Linked DNA regions of Mus musculus. The protein of the gene in region 2 interacts with the protein of the main gene of each other region in a pairwise test. Links are inferred from orthologs where the notes say so. Each region holds a gene or a part of one and is shown on either strand. Other genes may lie near its edges.

The links. The genes of interacting proteins can lie anywhere in the genome.
Region 1: the proteins of Gfap (region 2) and Trim27 interact in binary tests that used the Homo sapiens proteins (3 or more experiments, as listed by UniProt). The two-hybrid records come from large-scale screens. The link is inferred for Mus musculus from reciprocal best matches to the Homo sapiens genes GFAP and TRIM27.
Region 3: the proteins of Gfap (region 2) and Tubgcp4 interact in a two-hybrid assay, tested with the Homo sapiens proteins (2 studies listed by BioGRID and IntAct). The two-hybrid records come from large-scale screens. The link is inferred for Mus musculus from reciprocal best matches to the Homo sapiens genes GFAP and TUBGCP4.
Region 4: the proteins of Gfap (region 2) and Smarcb1 interact in binary tests that used the Homo sapiens proteins (3 or more experiments, as listed by UniProt). The link is inferred for Mus musculus from reciprocal best matches to the Homo sapiens genes GFAP and SMARCB1.

Annotation. Positions count from the first base shown.
Region 1 is NC_000079.6:21,189,467-21,193,506, forward strand, and holds part of Trim27 (zinc finger protein RFP), read left to right. Parts: intron 1-388; coding exon 389-504; intron 505-625; coding exon 626-658; intron 659-1,126; exon of another isoform or gene 1,127-1,220; intron 1,221-1,753; coding exon 1,754-1,780; intron 1,781-2,563; coding exon 2,564-3,159; 3' UTR 3,160-4,040. UniProt on the Homo sapiens protein: E3 ubiquitin-protein ligase that mediates ubiquitination of various substrates and thereby plays a role in diffent processes including proliferation, innate immunity, apoptosis, immune response or autophagy.
Region 2 is NC_000077.6:102,893,722-102,899,069, forward strand, and holds the start of Gfap (glial fibrillary acidic protein), read right to left. Parts: upstream 3,480-5,348; 5' UTR 3,397-3,479; coding exon 2,945-3,396; intron 2,090-2,944; coding exon 2,029-2,089; intron 1,848-2,028; coding exon 1,752-1,847; intron 819-1,751; coding exon 657-818; intron 1-656.
Region 3 is NC_000068.7:121,184,204-121,189,097, forward strand, and holds part of Tubgcp4 (gamma-tubulin complex component 4), read left to right. Parts: intron 1-130; coding exon 131-296; intron 297-498; coding exon 499-623; intron 624-3,928; coding exon 3,929-3,979; intron 3,980-4,321; coding exon 4,322-4,427; intron 4,428-4,894. UniProt on the Homo sapiens protein: Component of the gamma-tubulin ring complex (gTuRC) which mediates microtubule nucleation.
Region 4 is NC_000076.6:75,903,685-75,908,578, forward strand, and holds part of Smarcb1 (SWI/SNF-related matrix-associated actin-dependent regulator of chromatin subfamily B member 1), read right to left. Parts: intron 2,513-4,894; coding exon 2,346-2,512; intron 891-2,345; coding exon 700-890; intron 1-699.

The DNA of each region.
Region 1 (4,040 bases), on a different chromosome or scaffold from region 2:
TTCTCATTTTGAAGACTTGCTTTTCTGTTTCCTTTGTTTTGGAAGTTTGGGGGCAAGATCTCACTAAGTAGCCCTAGATGGCCTGGGACAAGCAGTGATCTTTATGTTCCTGCCTCCTGAGTGCTGCTGATGTTATAGGGAGGGACTGACATACCCACTGAACACTTGATAATTGCAAAGCTCTGAGCTAGCGCTTTAGGAGAGATGGAAATGAATAAGGCTATCTCTTACTGTGGTTTAGAGGAAAGTTGTAAAGTTTGTGGTAGCGAGCTCTAAAGACTGCCTACTTGTGTTGGACAGGTTATCGTGGTCCTCAAGGTTGAAGGATTGAGGGAAGGATGTATTGTTACTATCTATAATTTTGTGGTTTTGTTTTGTTTTGTTTTAGGGCTGAAAGAATCAGGATCCCTGAGCCCTGGATCACACCCCCAGATCTACAAGAGAAAATCCATATTTTTGCCCAAAAATGTCTGTTTTTGACAGAAAGTCTAAAACAGTTCACAGGTAATATGAGGAAGAGAGTGGGTTTATATTCTGAGTGTGTTGTTATCATTGTCATCTGAGGATGGATTTTCTAACCAGTTAAGAGTCATATAAACCGAATCTCTTCTTTTTTTGTTTTTAGAAAAGATGCAGTCAGATATGGAGAAGATCCAAGGTAAATTTACCTATTTCCTGAGCTCTTGACATTTTAAGTTTCTTGGAAAGAAGCGAGTATATAGACAGTCCAGGGGGTGTCAACAAGATAGCTCAGTAAGTGCAGTCACTTACTGGGCAAACCTGTCGACCTGAGTCTGCTACTTGGAACCTATACAAAGGTATAAGGAAAGAACAGAATCCACGTGTGTAATGACATTTGTGATCGCACACGCACACACACGCACACGTTATTCATGTGCTTCCCTACCTGACACCGTTGCTTTAGTTTGGGTTTGGTTGAGACAGTCATAATGTGTAGCCCAGTCTAGCCTATTACTCACCGGTCTCCTGCCTCAGACCTTCTGCCTCTGGGGTTACAGGTGTGGCGCCATATCCACAGCTACGTTTAGTTCGGTGGCTAGTAACCAGAAGTGGCTTTCCTTGATCTGATTCTTCTTTCTCTTCCTCTTCCTTTGCCACTTCAAAGACTTGTGTGAAATCCTTGGCCAGCTAGAAACCCCACATAAATTAATGATGGCAGTGGGTGTCATTTGAGCCACCCAGCCTCTACAGCAAAGATGGTTCGTACAAGTTAAGAGTTATATATATTATATGTCATGCATTTGAACTTTGCCTTTGCAGAATCCAGTGGCTCTCTGGAGGGTGGAATTCTTGATCTTGGCTCAGTGTGATACCATGTTTTACAAAGTTCATACATGTTATCTGTATAGCCAAGGTTCCCAAACCCCTAACCCTAAAAATCCTTGCATGTGCAAAGCATAGTGGTGCATGCCTGTAAACCTAGTACCTCACAGCTCATCAGCAGTGACTGCCATGAGTTTGAAGCCAGCCTGGCCATACAGTGAGTTTCAGGTCAGCCTGAGTTACATAGTAAGACTGTCTTTCTAAAAGAGAAAAAAAAATTCCTGGGCAGATAAGCAGATATGGAGTCATAACATCAAATGAAAATCAGTACCCAATTGACACAGGCGTTCTGCAATGCTAGTGGGTTCCACTGCTTTATGGTTTGTTTTTTGTTTTTTGTTTTTTCACTTAACATGTTTCCTAGAAAGACACACAGGTTCAGTAACTTCTTTTCTCTCTTGTCTTTCAGAGTTGAGAGAGGCTCAGTTATACTCAGGTAGGTACCTGAAGACAAACCATGTTGAAGAAAGGATTAAAAGCCCTATGAGCCTGACCACTATTATAAGTGCTTTGAGACAGCCTCAAGTTTGAATCCTTTAGTTGCATATACACAGATATCATACAGCCAGAAGCCCAGTAGTTGGGAACATGAGGCAGGGACATCAGGAGTTTAAGGCCATTTTTTTGCTACTTAGTTAATCCACATAGATTTCTGTTTCAAAAAAGATAAAGGGAAAAACTTAAAAGAGTGGATGTTCAAGGCAAATTCTCAGAACAAATACAAGAATGATTTGAAAGGTGGTAATATTAAACTTTAGCTAAAACTATTGGCCACCAAAGTTTTCAAATTCAGAAATTAGACATATGTAAAGAAGCTTTAAATGAAATCTCCGAAGGAGGTTGAGCCTTAGATGTGAGAAAAGGAGTGGGAAGTAAAATTGTATTACTTTCATTGTTATCCATACAGAGGCAATCAGCTAATCTAACCGTAAATTTTTAGGTTCTGAGTCAGGGTCTTACTATGTAACACTGACCATGCAACATGGGCTGGTCTGGAACTCCTGAAGATAACTTCTGCCTCAGTCTCCACGTGTGCCACCATGCTTAGTTCCAAGAGAATTTTTTTACATAATCAGTTCACCGTGTGTCTGATATATAATGAGTACAGCCTCTGGTGGGCATCTCCTACAGTGTTCTGGGGAAGTCAGTGAAATACCAGGTAGTCTTGAGTGGGCTCTTCTGGCCCTCAGATGACACCCCCCCCCCTTTGTTTCTACAGTTGATGTAACCCTGGACCCAGACACAGCCTATCCCAGTCTGATTCTTTCTGATAATCTTCGGCAAGTACGGTACAGTTACCTCCAGCAGGATCTTCCAGACAACCCTGAGCGATTCAATCTGTTTCCCTGTGTCTTGGGCTCTCCATGTTTCATCGCTGGGAGACATTACTGGGAGGTAGAGGTGGGAGATAAAGCCAAGTGGACCATAGGTGTCTGTGAAGACTCGGTGTGCAGAAAAGGTGGGGTGACCTCAGCCCCCCAGAATGGATTCTGGGCAGTGTCATTGTGGTATGGGAAAGAATATTGGGCTCTTACATCCCCAATGACTGCACTACCCCTGCGGACCCCTCTCCAGAGAGTAGGGATTTTCTTGGACTATGATGCTGGTGAGGTTTCCTTCTACAATGTGACAGAGAGATGCCATACCTTTACTTTCTCTCACGCTACCTTCTGTGGGCCAGTCCGGCCCTACTTCAGCCTAAGCTACTCGGGAGGGAAGAGCGCAGCTCCTTTGATCATCTGCCCTATGAGTGGGATTGATGGGTTTTCTGGCCATGTTGGGAATCATGGTCATTCCATGGAGACCTCTCCGTGAGGAAGTGAACGTAGACCACAAGTGCTGTTGCCTGTAATCCTACCCCAGGCACAAGGGATCTTGTCCTGATTCCTGTCCATCAAAATTGGGTGTCCTTACCATTTCCGTGCCCCTACAGTGAGAGACAAGATGTCCATCCATGGTCTCTACTGCATTTTCCCTTCCCTTGCAGATTGTGAGATGTAATGAAAAGTATTGCTATTTCCCAGAAATAAAAACTAGATTCCTCCTGTGTTTCATACGTTTTGTTTTTGTTATGACTGAAGGACATAAAAGAATAGGATTTGGATTTGGAGACCCACTTTCCAGAATCTTGTCCTGGCTTCTCTTCATGTGGATCACAATACGGAAAGTATGAGCCAAATAAAACCATTCCTCCCCAGGGGGCTTTTGTCAGTGTTTGTCATAGCAAGAGAGACACAACTTAAGGTGCCAGATTCGTAAGCTATTGCTATGATAGACTGACCTTGTTTTGCAAAGGATTTTGGAAGTGTTTGTAACTTTGGTTTGGAAATTAAGAGTGTTGAGAAATGCAGATGATAAACTTAGGAAGTTTCAGGGGGGAACAAAGACTGGGTAATTTTGTACTATATTTGAATTAAGAATGTGTGGTTTCTGCACAGCTGGGGCTGAAGAATTGACTGTGAATAACAAGACACCAATACCACTGACGTGAAACTTGTTTTTCTACAACAGTCAATGCTGGTTACCTGGGGCTAAAGAATCAACTAATTAACAGAAGGCCGGCACTATTGAGGTGAAATCTAGGAAGTATTTCCTCAGGGTCAGCACACAAAAGTAGTGGTCCAGAGAGGGCCAAGACTGCATCTTGGGCCTGGTCTATTTAAAAAGTCTCCAGTAAGCAGTGGTCCTCTGGTAAT
Region 2 (5,348 bases):
CTCTCGGCAGAAGCAACGGTAGGCCAAGGACTTCTCAGGCCTTCATCCTGCCCAGACTGTCACTGCATGTGAGGCTCAGCAACTCAACACTGGGTTTCGTGCCCTGGGCCAGCAGCATCCCTGGTCTCTGTCTGCGCTTTTCTGTCTCAGACCTCCTCATAGCACCTATTCTTCACCTGAGATGCCCTTCCTTCTTCTCCTGAGTCTCTAGGCTGCTTGTCTAGCACAAGTCCCACCCCCTCATCTTCCCTGCCTCCTACAGTCCGAACAAACTCTGTCCACCTCTGGACCAAAGTACCTGGTACACAATAGATGTTCAGTAACATAGGACATAGACTGGCAGAGGCATCAAAAAGGCAGACTCTCTAATGAGATGGGTTAGGATAGGAAACGTTATCCCTTTATCCCTTAGAAGCTGTGTGACACTGAGCAAGCTAGTGAACCTATTAGCTATTATTGACTATTATTGCTATTACAGGTAATAGCAATAACAACGAGTAGTTTGGGAAGTAGTAATGCCTACATGGTCCTAGGCAAGTCTTCTCTCTCTGGGCAAGACTGGTCATCTAGATAGGTTATTTTCCAAGGTTCCTTCCCTTATTCTCCAGTATATAGCAGGAAGGCTTCCTGGAAGAGGCAAACTGGCCCACAGGTACCTTAGACCGATACCACTCCTCTGTCTCTTGCATGTTACTGGTGGCCACTGCCTCGTATTGAGTGCGAATCTCTCTCAGGGCCGCTGTGAGGTCTGGCTTGGCCACATCCATCTCCACGTGGACCTGCTGTTGGGCCAGCTGCTCCCGGAGTTCTCGAACTTCCTAATAAGGTAAAAAAGGGGTACTGAGGCTCAAGCCTCAGGCCTAGACTCCAGCTCGGTTCTCGAAGACTCACACTTCTGTCTGCTAGACACGGCAATGGCTTGTGGAAACGAGGCTGCTGTTACTGGAGGAAGTGCATGGCCTAGACTCATGGGCTTATATACCAGACTCAGTGCAGACACCTTTAGTGGGAGGCTAGAGCAGGCAGATCTCTATGGTTTTGAGGCCAGCCTGGTCTATATAGAATGTTCCAAGCCGGCCAAGGCTTCACAGTGGAACCTTGTCAAAAAGTAAAAATAAAACCCTCAATGGGCATGGAATGAGAGTTTGAGGGTATTTCCCCAGGACTGGATAGTCAGGAACCAGCCATGCCTATGACTCACAGCCAGGCTCTGAGGTCAGAAGGATGTGTGTGTGTGTGTGTGAGAGAGAGAGAGAGAGACACACACACACAAGCCTATATGAGGCTCTCCTGTAGACCAGGCTGGTCTCAGTTTTTCTGTGTAGCCGAAATTGGCTTTGAACAGTTCGAACATTCTGCTTCTACCTCTCACAGGCTGAGATGTGTACTGCCGTGACAGGCCCTCAGAGGGGTTTTTGGCTGTGTGACTTTGCGGTGTGTTTCAACTTCTCTGGACTTCAATGTCCCCACCATTGTGAAAGGAGGTAGTAATAAGGGCGAATGAGCTGATGTGAAGGAGACGCTAAAGACCTGGTGCTGTGCTTCTCAGAACATGGCGGTGGAGGGGCTGCGAACATTTTCAGGGCTAGTAAATATGGGACACATCTCCCTTAGTCTCTGTGTCTTTACTCTTTCTCTTGTTTCTTTTTCCTCCTGACAGTTGGTTCCTCTATCCTCCTCTCTGAGCATCTCTGTCTCTGTCTGTCACTTGCAGTGTCTTGGAAGGCCTCCCTCCTCCTCCCTGGCCTCACCTCCTCATAGATCTTCCTTAAGAACTGGATCTCCTCCTCCAGCGATTCAACCTTTCTCTCCAAATCCACACGAGCCAGGGTGGCTTCATCTGCCTCCTGGAGTGGGGAGAGAGTCCCTTTGACCCCAGAGTCCTCCCTACTAAAATTTCCCCCTTAGTCTCCCCCCTCCTTGTGGGAATCTTGGCAGCACCGACTGCTGTGGAGGGCTAAGTTCAGGGGCTGTGTTTGGTGGGCTGCCCTCAGCCTTCCCCCCACCCATCCCGCTCATCTCTCTGACCTGTCTATACGCAGCCAGGTTGTTCTCTGCCTCCAGCCTCAGGTTGGTTTCATCTTGGAGCCTGGGAGAGGGGACACAGTATGGGCTTTAGGTTTTCCTGAGAACTCTTGGGTCCCTGTCCTAACCTCCAGAGGGAGGGGACGGTCACAAACCGATCCCACAGGACCGGTAAAGTGGCAGAAGTAAGCAACGGAGGGTTCCTACACAGAGGCCTCGGCTGAGAGAGTGAACAGATAAGGGCTGCCGCCTTAGCTCATTACTGAGGTGTCTTATCTGGGTTGGTGCACCTGCTCTTGCTCCCACAGGCGCATCCTCCACCGTGTGCTCACTGTCACTGACACCAGTGCCCCTCCTGCACCAGAGGGACACATGAATGCCCACCACCCAGCAAAGCACCATGCCCTGGAGTGTGACCCTTGGTTCCGATCTTTTAGGACAGATTGTTTCCTGACCTCTACAGCTACCCCACTCAAAATGGCTTAAGCAGGGTCAAAAGCAGGTGATAGGCCATCCATCATCTGGGCCCTGCACCCAGGCCTGGCCGCTCTTTCTTGCATTTCCTATATTTCAGAGCCTCCTTGTGGATACAAACCTCTCTGGCCACTCATAATGCCAAGTGAATGAAGAAAGAAAGCACCTGCTGGCTCATACCCTGGCTACCCCCCAGCCCCCAGCCTCCCTCAGCATGGAGGTGCCCAGAGTGCCCAGCTCCCTTTGAGAATCAGATCCCCGAAGTTTTTAGTCTCTTCCTGGCTATTCCGATCATATTAGGGAACAAAGATAGCTCTCCCAGACATGGGGAAATGCAGGAGCTGAGAGGCTCCCCTGGGGGAGGCAGTGCCCTTTCTTCCAGGCAGGCAGCCCTTGTACTTCAGTCTCTCTGCTCACTAGCCATTTCCCCTATCCCCCTTCTCACTTCTGCCTCAGGGTGCCGAGGTCCTGTGCAAAGTTGTCCCTCTCCACCTCCAGCCGGGCACTGTTGGCCGTAAGCTGGTCCAGCCGCAGCCGCAGCTCCCGAAGCTCCGCCTGGTAGACATCAGCCAGTTTGGTGGGCTCCTTGGCTCGAAGCTGGTTCAGTTCAGCTGCCAGCGCCTTGTTTTGCTGTTCCAGGAAGCGGACCTTCTCGATGTAGCTAGCAAAGCGGTCATTGAGCTCCATCATCTCTGCACGCTCGCTCGCCCGTGTCTCCTTGAAGCCAGCATTGAGCGCCCCGGCCAGGGAGAAGTCCACCCTGGCAGGGAGTGGAGGAGTCATTCGAGACAAGGAGAAGCGTGGCATGGTACCCAGTTGTCGACTAGGACCGAGGCCCCTGACCACCGTCTCGGAGGCATAGGAGCGGCGCGCAGAGGTGATGCGTCTCCGCTCCATCCTGCCCTGCCTCTGCTGGCTCCTGGGATGTCAGGGCCTTTATGGAGGAACGGGTTGGACTAAATCTGCCCCTGACTTCCTGGAAGCACCCCCATTGAATAGCCTGAGGGGGTGGAGCTGGGCCCCAGCCCAGCTAGGGGGAGAACTCCTCTCACCCCACTGAGGTCACTGTACCCAGAGTCAAGGCTTTCTTGGGAACACCAGCCTGGCTTCGCCATTGATCAAGGAACCCCCTTTCTGGTAAATGGGTCAAGAGAGGGCCGAGGGAACAGCTTAGTCCATAAATTGCTTGCCTGTCAAGCATGAAGACCCACCCAAGTTCTAGCTGCAGAATGAATACAAAAGGCCTGGGTTGACAGTGCATACTTGTAAACTCCAGTGCTGGGCAGTGAAAATCAGCAGACTTCCTGGCTCTCACTAATTGGCGAGTTCCAGATCCAGAGAGAAATGCTCTCTCAGAAAACCAAGGCAACAGTGCCTGAGGTTGACCTCTGGTCTCAACACATGTATGTGCACACACATGAACATTTGTGTGATAAGTGTGCACGAGCGCACACACAGAGACAGAGACAGAGAGTGCACAGCTCGGTGGGGTAATCAGCTTCCAGTTCTTAGAGCCTGTAAGCCAGGACCACCCCAACTCTGTCCTTCTCTGGGGGCCTGTGAGATGCTAGGAACTTGAAGAACCTATTCCCTTCCTCCGGGATCAACCTATATTACAGTTTCCTGTGACCCCCATTCTCAACAGAGTCCTCTCCCCTGAATCTCTCCAACTCTATCTTCTCATTCCTGGAGTTCAGGAGTGGAGGGCTAAGGTTGGAGCCCTCTCTGTGACTCCAGGGTCAACTTGAGCCTCTGGCTGTGTGTTTAGAGTGCACGGCAGAAGGTATGCACGCAGATCCTAATAGGGTAAGACAGCAGGCTTCATTCCTGAGCCCCTCTGTGGCCTCTTATCCAGCCTAGTGGGCCATTTCTCCCTGATCCAGCTTCTCGTTGCCCCCCACCCCCCACCCCGAGCCTGGCCCCTGGCAGCCCCTGACAGAGTAGTTTTGAATGAGTTGGCTGTGCATGCTGGAGTCTTTCTTTCTGTAACACCCCGTCTTCCTGGGTACCCCTCATTCTCTCAGGAGATTTACCCCCTTTAAATTCCTACACACCAGGCCTCTGAGGGATATGTAGGTCCGGGAAACCAAACCCCACCCTCACCAATGGCGGGGAGGAGGCTGTTGCTGCTTGAGACTTCAGGCCCATCTATCTCTTCCACTCAGGTCCCTCTCCCAGGCGCCTTAGCCATCTGTGTCCTTGGGCTTCTGGAACACAGACAGCTCTGCTCCCCCCAACCCCTGCCTTCCTCTGCCCATGCTTGGGCTTCTGGTGTCTACTCCAGGGTACTCGCTGAATAGAGCCTTGTTCTCTGCCGCCAGTGAGGCATATGGCAAGGGCAGCCCCGTGGGCTGCTTTTATCCCAGGATGCCAGGATGTCAGCCCCGGGTGCAGTACAAGCTCCCAGCTCAATAGACTTCTCGGAAAGCATCGAAGGAGGCCTGGAGCACAGCGGGAAGCAGGCTGCGTGCCCACCCCTGACCATTATGTCTATGCCAAGGTGAGTCACTCGTGGGCACAAAAGGAGGTCCTGGGGGCTGACCAGCTCAGCACTGCCAGGTCTTCAGCTTACAGACAAGGCCTGGCTGCTTGCCCCCTCCCAGCGCTCAAGCCAGTTAAGACCCCTGAGTTCCTGTCATAGCAACAGCCTATACTCCATACCAGCGACATGGTATTTGTTTGAGCTTACAGTGGGCTGCTTGCTGAGGTTCTCCTAATGAGTCCCACCATAGGGAAGGGAAGAGCCCCTTAGGCTCCAGCCACATCTTCCCCAATCCTGAATAATGGCATAGTGAGGGAGATCTTGAGAGAGGTTGCCAGTGACCTTTAGACTGGACCTCATCATGTCC
Region 3 (4,894 bases), on a different chromosome or scaffold from region 2:
AGAACTCAGCGCTTTCCGCCGTGCCAGTTTTCTTCCTGAGATCTACACCTTGTTTACCAGTCGCACAGATCATGGGTTGGGAGTTAAGACCTGTCATCATACTTCACTGACCGATTATTTTCTTCACTAGCGCCTAATTGAGGAAGAGAATATGCTGGCCCCATCTCTGAAGCAGTTTTCGCTGAGGGTAGAGATTTTACCATCATACATTCCAGTGAGAGTTGCTGAAAAAATCCTCTTTGTTGGAGAATCTGTCCAAATGTTTGAGAATCAAAATGTGAACCTGACAAGGAAAGGTAGGAATGCCCTTGTTCTATTGGTCCCATCCTCAGAGGCTCTGTATCTGCAACACTGGCCCAAAGCATGCAGGGTTAGAGTGGCTGATGACAACAATGACTGCAGCAAAACCGCTCTGATAGATTTGCCTGGGCCACTGTGGCCCCCTCCACCCTGTCTGCCCTGACTCCTGTCTGATGATCATGTCATCATAATCCACAGGGTCCATCTTGAAAAACCAGGAGGACACATTCGCTGCCGAGCTGCACCGGCTCAAGCAGCAGCCACTCTTCAGCCTGGTGGATTTTGAGCAGGTGGTAGATCGGATTCGTAGCACTGTGGCTGAGGTCTGTCTTTTCTCTTCTAGTGTTCCAGAAGACATGAGTTTGTAGAACCCTAAAGGGAGAGAGAGCGGGGAGGGGGGTACCTATGGGGCTGGAGAGATGGCTCAGTGGTTAAGAGCACTGGATTCAACTTTGGTTCGATTCCCAGGACCCACATAGTGGCTTTCAACCATCTGCCACTCCAGCTCCAAGAGATCCAGTGCCCTATTCTGGCTTCCAGAGGCACTGGGCAGACATTGATACAGATAATCACTAGGCACACACCCTCACACATGAAAAGAAATAAGTGAAAGAACGTCTGTTTTTCAGGTAGAAATGGAACTGATGTGTTTTAATCAGTTGATTAAAGGGAAGTCTCAGTTTAATTTCTAACACTCATGAATTTGGGTGAGGAAAAGCTTTGTGTGTATGTCTGTGTGTTTGTGCCCATGTGTGTGTGTTTTATTATCGACCATGTATTTCACTTGTACATGGTAATCTTGGAAGGAAAGCCACGCACACAGGATGGTGGTCCTGGCCCTTGAGACAAGTGGGAGGGTTGCTAGGGATTCTAGGTACTGGGACTTCTTGAGCTGAGGGTGCTTATATTGATTGGCCTGTTCATTGTGAACTTCAAGATGTAAGCTTATGATTTATTTGTTTTTCTGTATAATAGTCACTACTTTCACTAAAATTTTGGATATGTAAGAGAAAAACTCTTGTATCTAAAGTTGTTTATTATTTATATGGAGACATAGTAATGCTAATTTATTGCTGGCTAGTCTTACACATTCCCCTTAACTCTGTGTAACTAACTTTTTTTTAAAGGCTTATTTATTTTATGTATATGAGTGCACTGTCGCTCTCTTCAGACACACCAGAAGAGGGCATCAGATCCCATTACAGATGGTTGTGAGCCACCATGTGGTTGCTGAGAATTGAACTCAGAACCTCTGGAAAAGCAGTCAGTGCTCTTAACCTCTGAGTCATCTCTCCAATCCCTGGGTAACTAACTTAATTCTGGGGTTTGATACTATAAAATTTTTTATGTACAAAAGATTACATCACCTGAAAATAAGAAAATAAGAAGTGTTTTACAACACTTCTTCTAATGTTTAACACCCCACCATACATTGTTCTAGGATCTTTATTGATAAAGTAGACAGGTCGCCTTTGTTTGCATAAATTGTGTCAAACAGCAGAGGTAATATTGGACGTCTCTGAACTCCTGACGCTTAGAGATGCAGAGAATTCCTGCATTACTATGACATTTGCTGTAGGCTTCTAGAAGGCAGTGTAATAAACTATTCTCTTCCTAGTTAGCTGGGTTTTTTTCTTAAGTGCTGTCAGGTTTACCAGTTGCCCCTGTGTTAGTGGAGGAGAGCAGTCTTGCCTTGGATCCATTTCTCTTTCATAGTTTTTATATCTGTATGCATTAGTTAAGAAAGACAATTGTCTTATTCTTGGGTAGTTTTTACATAAGCCTTATAAAATGGGTTAGGTAGGTGCTTTTGTTCCTTTTCTTTTTGTTTGTTAAACAGTCTGTGTTTTCTTTGTTTGTAATTGTTACTTAGAGTTTGAACTTCCCTGAAAAGTGATCTAGGCTTCCTTAGGAAGAGAACCTTGACTGGCTGAGTATGTTTTAAAACTAAGTTGCCATAAAGCTTCTTCTTGTAACAGTTTTGATGACTCTGTAGCTTTGCAACTTGACTATTTCAGGTGGACTTAAATTTTTAAAATACTTGCTTATCTATAAATAGGTTTTGTTTTGTTTTGTTTACTTAAGTTTTGTCTTTTAAACATGATTTTGTGGCCTGTCAGTAGTAGCATAGGGCAGGCAGAGGCAAGTGGATCTCTGCATTTGAGGCCAGCTTGGTTTACAGGACAACAGCCAGGGCTACAGAGAAACCCTGTCTAGGAAAAAAAAAAAAAAAAGAATAAATAAATAAATAAATTGTGTGTCTGGGTGTGTAGTGTATGTACTTATGTTACAAGGTAGGTAGGTGTGTGTGTGTTGTGTGAGTGCGTGCGTGCCTGTGGAGATTAGTTTCAGAAATCTTCTGTTTTCACTCTCCTACCTTACTGTTAGGACAGCATCTTTCTGAACCAAGAGCTCACTGTTTGGGCTGGCCTGGCTGGCCAGGGAGCCCCAGCACTCCCTGCCTCCCTGTCTGCCAGCATTGGGTTAGGCACGAGCCACTGCTCAGCTTTCACATAGATGCTGGAGATCTGAACTTGGGTCCTTATGCTTGCTTAGCAAGGTTTTTCATCACTGAGCCATCTTGCCAGCCCCAGTTTTTCTCATTATTTAGTCTTGTTAGGCTTTTATTAAGATTAATAAACTAGTTAGAACCAGCTTTTCCCCCTTAATTTAAAACATACTAACTTACACATTTAGAAAAATTATATATAAATGTAACATCTGGGTACCTGGAGATGCAGAAAAAGCATTGGCTAAAACTCTCCATTAGTTCATGACTTATAAAAAAAGAAAAAGAAAATCTAGGCTTTCTGGTACACACCCCATCAGTGTAGCACTGGGAAAACTATAGCATAGCAGGAAGATGACTGCCAACTCCAGGCCAGCTTTGCATAGGCAGCAATCCCATTTAGCTTTTTGGGGTTTTTTTTTTTTCTTCTGTTTTTTTGTTTTGTTTTTGTTTTTATAAAAAGGACTCGAGAGATGGCTTATCAGTTAAGAGCAGTGGCTTGCTCTCCCAGTGGACCTGGATTTGATTTCCAACACCTACAAAATGGCTCACAACCATCTGGAATTCCAGCTCCAGGGAATCTGGCATCCTTATCTAGCCTCTGAGGGCACGAGCCAGGCATATGATACAAAGATATGCATGCAGGCATAACACCCATACAAGTGTAAAAAAAAAAATCATACAACTTATCTATGCATCTCCAGGTACCCAGATGATTTTTCCTATTAACTTTAATGTTGTGCTTTTTTGAGACAGGGTCTCCTTCTGTAGAGACTCTTCCTGTCCTGGAACTAACTATATAGATTAGGCTGGCCTTGAACTCAACAGAGCTCCTTCTACCTCTGCTTCTGATGCTGAAATTCAAGGCATGAGCTACTCCGCTTGGCTACAGTCATGCTTTCTCAAAAGTGACTGGGGAAAAAAAAATCAAATATGTACTCAACTTTGTAGCCATTTAAAAATGGTATTCACACAGAGTTGTATATGTAGCTATTACCATTAATTTCAGGACATTTTTATCTTGTATAGGTTTTGTTTCTGTCTGCTCATTCCTAGGATTAGCTGAACTTGGGTTCACTGTAATGGATTTTTGTGTTTTTTTTTTTAATCTCATCACAGCACCTCTGGAAGCTAATGGTGGAAGAGTCAGATTTACTGGGTCAGCTGAAGGTAATAACTGACACTCTTTTAAATCCGGAAATGATTCTGGAAAGCAGTCTTATCTACACTGCCACAGTCGATTCATTTGTTCTTACTCAAGTGAGGAAAATATATTTTATGCTACAAATCTTTTCTACTCTAAAGATTCAAGCTTACTTTCTTCTGTTGTGATGTAAATACCATCAAACAGAGTCTTCCTGCTTTGGGAGGCTGCTCTGTATGTCTCTTTAAAATGTCAAGCCTGTATCCTTCAGACTGCTAGTATCAGCCTCTCTGTGTCTAATTCATTTGGGGTGGTCAGGGCCTCCAGGCTCTGATTTACTGAATTGTACACTGAAATTCTTTCCCCAGATCATTAAAGACTTTTACCTGCTGGGACGAGGAGAACTGTTCCAGGCCTTCATTGACACAGCTCAGCACATGTTGAAAACACCACCCACTGCAGTAACAGAGCATGGTAATTTTCCTGTGGCCCTGAGAGTAAAGTTTGCTCAGGTTGCAGGGTGTTTCTTGGCTGGTGTTGTGTGTTGCATGTTTGCCTGCAGAGGCCAGAAGAGGGAGGACTTGAGTCACAAGCAGTTGTTATAGCTAAAGCTTCCTTATGCTTGGGGTATAACTAGGTCTCAGAACAACTAAAGTGAAGGACTTCAGTACTTTCAAGACTTCTCCTTACCCTGACAACTCCCCTAGACATCAGTAGCCATTCCTGGTCTCTAGAAGCAAACTAAAGAAATCTAGTGAAGTGCTTTGTTTTAACTGGTTACAGCCAGATCCACATGGCTATAACTTTAACAGTGAAGAAGTCAAGTTTAGGAGATGCCTCTTTCAGCAAGTGTCTTCCCTTTGGTTAGTTTAATGGCCACCCCTATCCAAGCACAAGAAGAATAATATAATAAAGATCTGAAACAAGACAAAGGAAATGGA
Region 4 (4,894 bases), on a different chromosome or scaffold from region 2:
CCACCTACTGCCTGTGGATGCATCCTCTGTATCAGTGACACCCCAGGACCTAGACAATGTTACCTAAGCTTGACTCCAGGCAGCATCGGCTGAGGCTTGCTGGCCTTGGCTCCATACAGGGTGAATGGACACCATGGCTGCACCCACAAGTAGGCTTCTTTCAGGAATGGTGAGGCATGGAACAGACATTAAGGCTAGAAAATAAAACTGCTTGGCCAAGGGGCTGCTAGAGGAGTCTCAGTAAGCAACTCATGTGCCTGCTTAGCGTATCAAGTGCTTGGGCTGAGGGGCTCATACCCTTTTAGGTGTACCTCATTTCTTCTGTCTACCCCCTCCCCAAACATTTTTATTTTATGTGTTTGGGTGTACTGCCTACATGCATGTCTATATTCCCCTTAGATTCCTGGTGCTCAGAGAGCATTGGATCCCCTGGGACTGGAGCTGCCTCCCTCTAGACCTTTTTTCTCTTGCTCACATTACAGAAATCCCTAAGGAAGCTGAATCTTGGGATGTCTGGTAAACCTATCTGAGTCAAACGCCTACTAACAAGCTTCCTGAACTGCCATGGCTTTGCAGAAAGCCCCTTGCTCTTGCTTTTCCTAAGCATTCCAGTTCTCAATGAAATCTTTTTCCAGTGGAGGCAAGGAAATGGACAAAACACAAGACCAGCGGGAAAGATGACCATGCTGGTTATCCTACCTGAAGGCATAGGTCTTCTGGTGCCAGCTCAGCTGTCCTCGGATGCTGTATGCAATGGTGGTGACAAACTCCCCGCCCAAGCCCAGCTCTGAGCACAGCTTCAGGGCAAACTTCTCTGGGGAGTTCTCTTTCTCTGACATGTCCCACTCAAACTGGTCCACCAGGGAGATGTTCCCCACGTGGATGTTCAGCTGCAGCAGGGGCCAAGAAACACAAGTGAAGGCCAAACATTAGTCCCCCAGGAGAGCTGGGAGGAGGTGGGGACAAGCCATTCTCAGCTGCCAGGTTGGAGGAAATCCAGCCCATCACTCAGAAACTGAGGCCCTGGTCTGTCTAGCTCCTTATTTATAAAATAGAACCGACCTCCCCGACTTCCAGGTTGTCACTAGACACTGAGGTCCTGGGCACCTGATCCCACCGTAACCTCTCTTCTATTCCTCTTGCATCCCATGCTGGCTAAGTGTCTTCTTTGTCCTTTACACCTCGGACAATCAACCTTTATGCAGCTATGCTGGCCATGCAGAGCTCAGCTTACATGCCACTCTTCAGGGATTGTCCTTGAGCCTGTTTTAAGCCACTGTCCATACCCTGATGTTACTTTACAAGCATCCTGCCAAGCTGCGAACAAGCACACCTACCCCATCTACTTGCTACCCCTTAGAAAGATATGCCTATTCCCGAACTCTGTGGAAGAAAAACAATACTTCACAAACCTGTGCTCTCACCTTCACATATTTGTGGTGGCACACACATACTAATAACAGTTATAGAAAAAAAATCAATGCAGTAAGACACATGCATAATAGCACACTAATAAGGAAGCTAAAGAGTCAACATAATCAGATACTTCACCCCATTAGGATGGCTACTATCGCACAAGAAAGGAAGAAAGGGGGAATGAAGGAGAGAAGGGAGGCAGGGCGGTAAGAACAACTTTTACTGATTCTGGGGAGAAACTGGAACCTTAGTGCATTGTTAGTGGGGGCATAAGACGGTGTGACTCCTGTGCAAGTCTGATAGGTCCTCAAAATAATAAAGGGCAGATAGTCTAGTGACCTAGAGATTTTTTTCTAAGATTTATTTATTTTTATTTAATGTGTACTGGTATTTTACTTATATGTACGTCTGTGTGAGGTTGTCAGACCCTGGAGTTACAGACAGTTATGAGCTGCCCCATGGAGGCTGGGTATTAAACCCAGGTCCTCCAGAAGAGCAACCAATGCTCTTAACAATCATGTCCTAGCAATTTTAACTTGTTTAATTTTAACTAACTTAATTTTAATTTGGAGTATAAACCCCAAAAACTGAAAGCAGAAATACAAACATGTATTTGAATCATAAAGTATTTCTGACCCAGCCCATAAGAACATTACACTGACGTTGCACATCTCACTGTGGGCTCTCCCAACTCTGGGGTTGGCTCAGCAACTGTCCTGATGGAGATGCAGCAGCACTGGTTGTCCTGATGGAGATGCAGCAGCACTCGCTATCCTACCCACAATGTGACACTTAAATCTGAAAAGTCAGCCCACCCATTCCTGAGTGCTTAGTCAGTTGTCCCTGAGAGATGTCATCCCAGAAACCGCATCCCAAGCAGGGAACCTGACAGGCTTCCATCAAGGGCTGAGTGTACTCTTGGCACCTACCTTGATGATGACACGCTGGTCGGATTGATCCTCTAGGATGCTGTCTGTGGGGTAGGACTCAATCTGCTGTCGAATGGCAGAGGCAATAGCTGGCACAAAAGTCAGTGGATTCAAATCCAGGTCATCACAAAGTATTTCTGAAAACATCTCAGGAGTCATTAGCTTCTCTGAAACCATAAAAATGCAAACATTTCAATCTATTTGTAGTACCTCATTTCTTGGTGCTCACATCTGTCCTGGTTTCTCTCCTTCCCTTCCTACTTTAACAAACCTGCCCTCACACAGATGTGGATGACCAGACACCTGAACCTGGCCTTCCCAGACACTTCCCATAGTTCATATCCTATGAACCAGAGTGTGCTCTGAGAACGGGACTTGGGTTGTCAAGGTGCAGGACATTTCCATCTGTACCAGAACCCCTCTATTGTTCTTTTGCAGCCACACGTACGTTTCTGTTCATCTTTCACCTATGATATCTGTTTTGTAATTCCAGCATCTGAAAAGCTAGAATCATACCTTATGCAACTTGGGGTAACTTTTCTAGGCAGAAATTTTTTTCAGAGAAGCTAGTCATGGTGGTATGTGCCTTTAATCCTTGCACTTGGGAGGCAAAGGCCAGTGGATCTCTATAATTTTAAGGCTAGCCTGATCTACACAGTGAGTTCCAAGCCAGCCAGGCCTACATAATGAGATTCTATCTAAAAAACAAACAAACAAACAAACAAACAACAACAAAAAAACAACCAAACAAGCAACAAAAATTCTTGAGCAATGCATGAGGCTGTTCCCTCCCTACTACTGAGATTAACATCCTGCAGAGCACTCAGGTTCTCTTCACTGTCCGCCCGCTGCAGGGCATCTGGACCATTTCTAACTTCTGTGTGTTACGCACAGAGCTGCTATCATACCCACATGTAGGTTTCAGTGTACACAGATGTCTTCAGAACTTCTTAGGGACACATGCCACCACTGCAGCTGCTCAGACGGTAGCCATGTTTAGATTTTGAAATGTTTTTTAGAGTAGCTTAGACATCTGTCTTTCCATCAGTGTGTGAAGGACTCAGTTTTTCCGCACCCTCACCAGCGGTAAGTGATGTTGTCACTGGTTTTATTTTGCACTTCTCAAACAGCTAATAAAGCTGAAGACCTTTCCAATGTTTACTTCCATCCAAGCATCTAAGTGAAATGTATTTCCATGGCTCCTGTCCTTATTCTAAAGTGCTCTCTTACATTTACTTATGTGTGTGGCTGTTTGGTTAGCATGTACATCTGTGTACTACCTGCACATCTTAAGTCTTTAGAGGCCAGAATGCAGTAGATTCCCTTGAAATGGAGTTATAAACCATGGTGAGCTCCTATGTGGGTGCTGGGAATTGAATCTGGATCCTCTGGAAGAACAGTCAGTGCCCTAAGTCTGAGCCATCTCTGTAGCCCATGTTCTTATTGTAATTAAATTATTGCTTTCTAGAGTTTTTAAAATGTGTTCTTTCACAATTTCATACAAATATGTAAAACACTGTGATTATATTCCATCTCCTGTTATCTTTTTTCTTTTCTGAGACAGGTCTCATCGTTTAGCCCTCCCTGGCTGGCCTGTAACTTGCCATGTAGACTTGAGCCTGCCCCACGCTGGGATCAGATGTGTGCCCCTCTCCATCGGGCACCCTTTCACCCTTCCTACAGGATCTTTTGCAGGGCAAAGTTTTAATGAGGTACATGTTTTAGTATTTTCTATTCTGTACCATGCTGCTGGTGTCTGGAGGGTTTTTGTCTATCCCCAAACACCCAAGATTTTCTCTTACACTTTCCTTCAACAAGTTTCATGGTTTTGAGTTTTATACACATTAAGTCCGTGATGTTTTAAGAGTTCACCACTAGATGTGAGATTAGGTCGTGGTTATCTTTGGATGTCTGACTGCTCCAGCATCATTTTGTCCAAAGGACTATCTTTCCTCCAATGACCTGCATTTGCACTGCTTTATCAAAAATCAGCAGGACTAGGAAAGGGGTGAGGGTGAGGGTGAGGGTGGGAGGCGCGAGAGCACACAGTGGCCTTGTGACATCAGATAGAGGCACAGCTGTGGATGAGCAGTGAGCACGCAGCTGGACTGAGCCGGAGCGACGCCTTGGGCATCTCTGGAACTACAGATACTTGCCATGCCAAGGCCCTGAAGCCTCTCACCCTTCTCACCCTGGAGTTCTCACCCTTCCTAAGGCTGCGACACTTTAATGCAGTTCCTCATGTTGTGGTGACCCTCAACATAAATTCTTTCATTGCTACTTCATAACTGTCATTTTGCTACTGTTATGAACTGAAATGTAGGTATCTGATATGCGACCTCAAAAGGGGTCATGATCCACAGGTTGAGAAGCACTACCCTGAGCTAACTGACTCCCAAGAGGGCGGAACCTCACACTCACACACTGCTGTCACTGCTCTGTGTTCATGTTTGTTGTTAGAGCCTTACAGCCTAGCTTAGGCTGACCGTGGCTTGCCCTCTTCCCACGACAGTGCCTGATTTGAGAAGTGCCCTTTTTGTTTTGTTTTG